Linked DNA regions of Ovis aries. The protein of the gene in region 1 purifies or fractionates together with the protein of each later gene. This does not show direct contact. Links are inferred from orthologs where the notes say so. Each region holds a gene or a part of one and is shown on either strand. Other genes may lie near its edges. The genes, in order: UBLCP1 and PSMC1.

What was found.
Region 2: the proteins of UBLCP1 (region 1) and PSMC1 purify together in Homo sapiens (affinity purification with mass spectrometry; 3 studies listed by BioGRID and IntAct, with this or other methods). This does not show direct contact. The link is inferred for Ovis aries from reciprocal best matches to the Homo sapiens genes UBLCP1 and PSMC1.

The regions. Positions count from the first base shown.
Region 1 is NC_056058.1:68,436,305-68,440,119, forward strand, and holds part of UBLCP1 (ubiquitin-like domain-containing CTD phosphatase 1), read left to right. Parts: intron 1-721; 5' UTR 722-765; coding exon 766-919; intron 920-1,697; coding exon 1,698-1,789; intron 1,790-2,399; coding exon 2,400-2,485; intron 2,486-2,566; coding exon 2,567-2,682; intron 2,683-3,687; coding exon 3,688-3,786; intron 3,787-3,815. UniProt on the Homo sapiens protein: Dephosphorylates 26S nuclear proteasomes, thereby decreasing their proteolytic activity. Recruited to the 19S regulatory particle of the 26S proteasome through its interaction with 19S component PSMD2/RPN1.
Region 2 is NC_056060.1:99,907,359-99,911,744, forward strand, and holds the start of PSMC1 (26S proteasome regulatory subunit 4), read left to right. Parts: upstream 1-1,364; 5' UTR 1,365-1,445; coding exon 1,446-1,598; intron 1,599-4,386.

The DNA.
Region 1 (3,815 bases):
TACCATTTGTTTAATGCTGTGCCTAAAACACTTCAGTTCTAGTTTTTGAAACTATTTAACCAATTACTTACTTGCATAGTGCTACCTATGTGCCAGGTAGTATGTGACTTACAAAAATTAACTTACTCCTCATGAACCTTGAGTTGTAGGTAGTATTAGCATCCCTATTTTACTGATGAGGAAACCTAGGCAGTAAGAGTCAATTAACTTTCTAAGGTTAAATAGCTAATAAGTGGGATTCCTGAACTCCAAACCCAGGTAATCTGACTCAAGAATTTGTGCTCTTAACAACTCCCTGTCCTACCTTGCAAATGGTAAATGAACATGAATGGTCCATCATGGAGGAACTTGCCTGCAGCATAAACCTGATCAGAGAGGGAGAAATATGTAGCTCATGATTGCAGCTTTCCAAACAGGAATAATCTGATAGAATATTAGAGGGTTGTAACTAAGCTAAAATTTGGGAACGTGGAGGAATTTTAACTTTGACTCCTAATAACTTTTGGTGTTCTGATAACATTTCTATAAGTAGAAAATCCTGTTTCTCGACTATCAAGATGTAAATTAGGACTCAAAGGATGCAGTTTATAAAGCTTAGAGCTTCGATACATCTTTCTAAAATTTTTTGTTGAATATAGTTGCTTTGCAATGTTGTGTTAGTTTCTGCTGTATGACCATCTTTGGTATGTCTGTTTCAACACGTATATGGCTTTCTTTCTAGGTATCTTTTTCAGAAGGAAAGCTGCCTTATCATATGTTTCAAGGATGGCTCTTCCTATCATCGTAAAATGGGGTGGACAGGAATATTCAGTGACCACACTTTCGGAAGATGATACTGTGCTGGATCTCAAACAGTTTCTCAAGACCCTTACAGGAGTGCTACCAGAACGCCAGAAGTTACTTGGGCTCAAAGTTAAAGGTAATTTTCTCCCTTCTTCAAATTTATTGCATTGATATATTTGTAAATCTTTACATTAGCTATTATCAGTTCACCTTAATAAGTCTTTCCTCCTGGAGGTTTCTTTAATATCCCTTAAATTATTTTAGTGATACAAGTAAGAATATTTAAGAATACTTGGAAATAACACCACTATTAAGATTACTTTTGATTTCCTCTGACAGTTGATGTTTGCTTGTTAAACCTTGGACATGAAAGTCCCAGGTAAAGAGTGTAATTTGTAATATCTGTCTTCTAGTACAGTCTTTTCATTACAGCTTGGGCCTTTTACTCTCTCCAAATTAACTTTTCTCTTTTGAAAGTAATAACAATTTAGAAATTATCAGCAATGTTCATATTCATTTAAAAGGTACTTTTAAGGTGTTTGTGTTTGTTTTATCAGTAAAGAGTGAGTTCTGAAAAGCAGTAAATCTACAGTTATCCTAGGCACTCAATTTTCAGGACTTTCTGGAAAACAGTTATCTTCATCTTGAACAACAGAATAAGAATAAAACATGAGTTTATTTAGTTAGTTGAATTAAATATGTTCCTCTAAGATGGAGTTGGGGGAAAAAAACCCAACCTTGTATTAATCGCTTTTCATAGTGTGTTAGAAACTGCTAATTCAGCAGTAATAGTTTATTAATTTAAGGGAAAAGAACCTGCTGTGGAATCTTTTAATGTTAGGGTTTTATATAATGGGATAGTGAAACCAGCACGTGAACTTTAGTGAGAAAACAGTCATTTGCTTGTATTGTAGGCAAACCTGCAGAAAATGATGTTAAGCTTGGAGCTCTCAAACTGAAACCAAATACTAAAATCATGATGATGGGAACTCGTGAGGAGAGCTTGGTAAATGTTTACTTTTGTTATATTTGTCCCATTGAAGATGCGTGCGTGCTTAGTCGCTCAGTCATGTCCGACTCTTTGCGACCCTATGACTGTAGCCCTCTAGACTCCTCTGTCCATGGGATTTTTCCGGCAAGAATACTGGAGTGGGTTGCCAGTTCTTCCTCCAGGGGATCTTCCTGACCCAGGGATCAAACCCACGTTTCCTTCATTACAGGTGGATTCTTTACCACTGAGCCACTGAGGAAGCTCTCCCTTTGAAGATATTATGATTTATATCACATTGTTACATCATAGTTTTAATTGTGGTAAAACTGTCAGTTTAATAGTCAACAGAAAGTAAAAACAGTGAATGTGGTATTAACTCAGCAGAAAGCAAACACTGGGCAACTTGTCAGTGTACACAGGCAGCTTTTTATAGTAGTAGTGATAATGGTGAAATTTAACGTGGTATATCTGTCCAGTGAACATACATAAAATGTGGATGTTTTCCCATAGCGTGTGCTTGCAAGACTTTTGGACTCAATTTGTACCTCTTAATTTTTTATGCTATGCATTTATTTGTTATGTTAAAAAGAATATGGTAAAGCAATACTGTTTTTCGTCTTAATAGGAAGATGTCTTAGGTCCACCTCCTGACAATGATGACGTTGTTAATGACTTTGATATTGAAGATGAAGTAGTTGAAGTAGAAAATAGGTGAGTGCTTTTCATCATCAAAGGGAATTGGTTGTAATACAAGAGAAAGTAAATCTTTCGTCTGATTTTATTTTTCATTAGGGAGGAAAACCTACTGAAAATTTCCCGCAGAGTAAAAGAGTACAAAGTGGAAATTTTGAATCCTCCCAGGGAAGGGAAAAAACTTTTGGTACTAGATGTTGACTATACATTATTTGGTAAGTCAGCTGAAACTGTGCTTCATCATCTGTTACCCGTTAACAGCATTTTCCCCTTTTGTTTTTTCCTTGCACTATGAATTACTTAAAGCATTTCTTTTTATTTTAAAAGTAAATCATTTATTGCAAGCAAAAAAAGAAGTCATATGTAATCCCAAGATCCAGAGATCTTTTTTTATGTGTTAATTTCCTGGATGTTTTTATGTATATCCTTTTCATGTTTACTTAATGATATGGTCAACATTTTAGTCATTTTGTATTCATTGTGAGTTAAATATATGTATTTTTTGGTCTGGTGATTTTCTATGATTTTATGAATCTGTGATAATTTAATAAAGCCATTACCTATTTATTAATATTTTATGAGGATTATTTAAAAATCATCTTTGATAGTTTATTCCTGGTTTTCTATTATGTTCAAGACAGATTCTTGAATTTAAGAATTTGACATTTGATATTTCATGTCAGCAAAAAAAGATGTTCATTTCATCCTTTAATATTGCCAGAAATAATTGGATAACTCCTGACATTAAAATGAGCATATTTACCTCTAATCCTAACCTTTAAGTACATGTCATAAGTTAGTGTACATTTATTTTAAAATTTGATTAGTAAATTAATTGAATCTGTTATTTTGGTGAAATATGATTGTATTTGGAAGGTGAATGGCTAAAAAGTGAGTATATCTGGCCCTAGTTTGTTTTTCATATCCTAAAATAAGATCTATGTTTTAGAGATTAGAAGAGAAGAAAACTTACTGTTTATTATATAAGCCTGAATTCTAGGTATTGGCTCTTTGCAGATTGAACAGAATTGATTAGTTAAAGTTGGATTGCAAGAATACTGAATTGTGTGCTTTGAAGATGTCCCTCTGTCAGCTGGTAGAAGTTAGTCTGAAGTACTTAGTATTTTGAGTGTTTCTGTTATATTTCAGAAGTTTAATCTATATTAGATATTTGTCCATGATAATAAACTAATCATCATCTCTAACTGATTTTATTTTAGACCATAGGTCTTGTGCAGAGACTGGGGTAGAATTAATGCGGCCATATCTTCATGAATTCCTAACATCTGCATATGAGGATTATGACATTGTTATTTGGTGTAAGCTGTATTTCTTGTTTAGATTTTCA
Region 2 (4,386 bases), on another chromosome or scaffold:
TTCTTTTTTAAAGGCTGTTTTGAATGTTACAACACTGCTTCTGTTTTATGTTTTCAATATTTTTGGCAGGGTGGCATGTGGGATCTGATGCTGAAGCTGAAGCTCCAATACTTTGGCCTCCTGATGCGAAGAGCTGACTCAGTGGAAAAGACCCTGATGCTGGGAAAGACTGAAGGTGGGAGGAGAAGGGGACATAGAGGATGAGATGGTTGGATGGCATCACCAGTGAGATGGACATGAGTTTGAGTAAACTCCGGGAGCTGGTGATGGACAGGGAGGCCTGGTGTGCTGCAGTCCATGGGGTCGCAAAGAGTCGGACATGACTGAGTGACTGAACTGAATGTGGAATCTTATTTCCTCAGCATTGGAAGGGAGTCTTGGCCCCTGGACAGCCAGGGAAGCCCCAGATTTGTTTCTTTCTGATGTCCTGATGGATGTAATAAATAAGGATACAATCCCGGGGCAAGATGAGGACTTTTAGGACATTTGGCATTTTGACCAGATGTCACAAGACATCAGGAAAAAAACAAACCACCAGATTCAGACGCTTCATGAGACAACTTCTCAGATGAGCAGATTAATTCCAGAGACCATATCAGACGTGAAATGCTGCTGCAAAAGTGTATGCCAACCTCGCGGTTCCAAAGACCACTCCGGTTCCTGGAGAAGTTAAGGCAAGGTCTGTTTAATTCTGGCCTCTTTAAAATCGTTTTTATCTTCGCAATTGCCTTTGACAGTCGAGGTCATTGTCTTAACTTGTTGACAATAACCTAATAACTGCGATTTAAACATTTTTTTCAAGTGAAAGTTCAATAAGGCCCGCGTCTCGCTTGGGAGTCCGAGCATCCCCGCCCGTCCGCTCCCGCAGACCCAGAGGGCGCAGCCGACCCTCGCGAGATTTGGCCCCTGGCGGCTTCCGTGGCGTCGCGGCAACTTCCGCCCCTGACGCTCCGCCCCGGCGGCGCACTTCCGGCGGCGGCGGCGGCGGCGGCGGGAGCGGCGGGGCGAGATGGTGAGTGACTAAGGGCTTCGGCCGGCCGTGGCGGTGGGTGCCGGCGGCCCGCGGCAAGGGGAGCCGGCCGCCGCCGGAGGCACCGGGCCTGCCCGCCCCGGTCCCCGGGGAGGCACGAAGGCGCCTGGGGAGCGCGTCGAGGACCTCGGCGGGCCGGCCGGCCTTTCCCCGGGCCCGGGGCTCGGCGCCGGGCGGGCCCCGGGGGCGGCGGGGCGGCTCGGCCGGGCTGGCCTCGTCCCTTTCCGGGCGGGCGCTGCCCTCGGAGCCGGCCGTTTCGGCCGCAGCCTCCGCGAGCCACCGGGCCGAGCGCTCGGGGCCGCGCGGCGGAGGGGACGGTGCGAGCGGGTCGTAGGGGCCGCGCGGCGCGGGGGCGGCGGACGGGCGCGTCGGGGCGCCCGGAGCGGACGGCCCTCGGTGCCTCGCTTGGCTCGCGATGGTTTCTTTGCTCCCGGTTGATGCCGCTCTTTGGTGGCTGGTGGGGGGGGGGCCGGGGGTGGTCCAGGCTCCGCTCCAGGCGCTGCACACACAGGGCGGGCCCGACCGACCCAGTCTTGGCCTCTTGAAGCTGGCGTTCTCCAGAAGGCAGGTTAGAGAGAGAGAGGAGTGTGTGCTACTGGGACGGGGCGGGACGGGGGCGGCGAGTGGCCTCTGCTGTGGCTGCTCTGTGCAAGGGCGGGAGAGGTGGCTGTTTTAGCCAGGGCGTCAGCGAACCTCGGTGAGGCGGGGAGGCCTGAATCCGGTGAGAGGGGAGCCGGTGCAGATACCCGAGGAAGACTGGTCCTGGGAGGACTGGAGCCAAGGGCTGAGGGGGAGAGGCTTGGTCTGTGTGGTGAGCAGCAGCGGGCTCCACCGCAGACTCAGGCAGGCCTTGGAAGCACTTTGGGTAGCAGTATTCTGGGCCTGACAAGCACATGGCAAGTACTTTTCCAGCATTTGCTGGAAATTATTCTCAGCAGTCCCTGGAGGTAATTATTGTTATCCTCAGTTTACCAAGGAGGAACCTGAGGCGGGGCCCGCGGGTGTGCGGTGCTGGGCTAGCGGCCCGTGCAGGAGAGCAGCACAGACGCCGGGGTCCAGAGGCCGGGAGCGTGCTGTCTCTCGGACCAGCTTTGTGACAGCTGGCAAGTCACTTAACCTCTCTGAGCCTCGCTTCCTTCTCTGTAAACTAGGGTGATGATAGCGGCAACTTAGTCGGATCTGTTTGTTTAGCACAGCGCTTGCTGTTCAGTACAATACGTATAGTTACTTGAGGCTGAGAAACATCCTGTGAAGCCCCAGACATGGAGAAGTGGGGGACTGACTCCGGGAAATGTCCTCCGGTGGGGCCAGACCTGGAGGGTCATGGGACGGGTAGACAAACCTGGGAAGGGTTAACTGAAGCCAGTTTGGCAAGGGCCAGGCGTGCCAAGCTAGAGAGTTTGGACATTAGGCCGTAAATGCTGGGGGTCAATTGAAGGTTTCTGAGGCGATTCAGAGGGTCAGCTCTTTGTTGTAGAAGGTAATGTCCAAATGGACGAGGGAAGAGTTTAGACCTGGAAACCTCCGTTGGGAGACAAGCGGTCCAGTAAGATAAGGCGGCCTGGACAGAGCCAGAGATGGGGGGACAGGAGAGGGGGACCTGAACCAGGATGGATTGTAAGCAGAGATGGGGGACAGGAGACGGGGACCTGAACCAGGATGGATTGTAAGCAGAGATGGGGGGTGGAGATGGGTACCTGAACCAGGATGGACTGTAAGCAGAGATGGGGGGCAGGAGGGGGGACCTGAACCAGGATGGATTGTAAGCAGAGATGGGGGACAGGAGGCAGGGGACCTGAACCAGGATGGACTTTAAACAGAGATGGGACAGGAGAGGGGGACCTGAACCAGGATGGACTTTAAACAGAGATCGGGGGACAGGAGAGGGGGACCTGAACCAGGATGGACTTTAAACAGAGATCGGGGGACAGGAGAGGGGGACCTGAACCAGGATGGATTGTAAGCAGAGATCGGGGGACAGGAGAGGGGGACCTGAACCAGGATGGATTGTAAGCAGAGATGGGGGACAGGAGGCGGGGGACCTGAACCAGGATGGATTGTAAGCAGAGATGGGGGGTGGAGATGGGTACCTGAACCAGGATGGACTGTAAGCAGAGATGGGGGGCAGGAGGGGGGACCTGAACCAGGATGGATTGTAAGCAGAGATGGGGGACAGGAGACGGGGACCTGAACCAGGATGGATTGTAAGCAGAGATGGGGGACAGGAGAGGGGGACCTGAACCAGGATGGACTTTAAACAGAGATTGGGGGACAGGAGAGGGGGACCTGAACCAGGATGGACTTCAAACAAAGATGGAGGGACAGGAGAGAGGGGACCGGAACCAGGATGGACTTTAAACAGAGATGGGACAGGAGAGGGGGACCTGAACCAGGATGGATTGTAAGCAGAGATGGGGGACAGGAGACGGGGACCTGAACCAGGATGGATTGTAAGCAGAGATGGGGGACAGGAGAGGGGGACCTGAACCAGGATGGACTTTAAACAGAGATGGGGGACAGGAGAGGGGGACCTGAACCAGGATGGACTTTAAACAGAGATGGGGGGACAGGAGACGGGGACCTGAACCAGGATGGACTGTAAGCAGAGATGGGGGGACAGGAGAGGGGGACCTGAACCAGGATGGATTGTAAGCAGAGATGGGGGCAGAGACGGGGACCTGAACCAGGATGGACTGTAAGCAGAGATGGGGGCACGGAGGGGGACCTGAACCAGGATGGATTGTAAGCAGAGATGGGGGACAGGAGGCAGGGGACCTGAACCAGGATGGACTTTAAACAGAGATGGGACAGGAGAGGGGGACCTGAACCAGGATGGACTTTAAACAGAGATGGGGGGACAGGAGAGGGGGACCTGAACCAGGATGGACTTTAAACAGAGATGGGGGGACAGGAGAGGGCGGACCTGAACCAGGATGGACTTTAAACAGAGATTGGGGGACAGGAGACGGGGACCTGAACCAGGATGGATTGTAAGCAGAGATGGGGGGACAGGAGAGGGGGACCTGGACCAGGATGGACTTCAAACAAAGATGGAGGGACAGGAGAGAGGGGACCGGAACCAGGATGGACTTTAAACAGAGATGGGACAGGAGAGGGGGGACCTGAACCAGGATGGACTTTAAACAGAGATGGGGGGACAGGAGAGGGGGACCTGAACCAGGATGGATTGTAAGCAGAGATGGGGGACAGGAGGCGGGGGACCTGAACCAGGATGGACTTTAAACAGAGATGGGGGGACAGGAGAGGGGGACCTGAACCAGGATGGACTTTAAACAGAGATGGGGGACAGGAGACGGGGACCTGAACCAGGATGGACTTTAAACAGAGATGGGGGG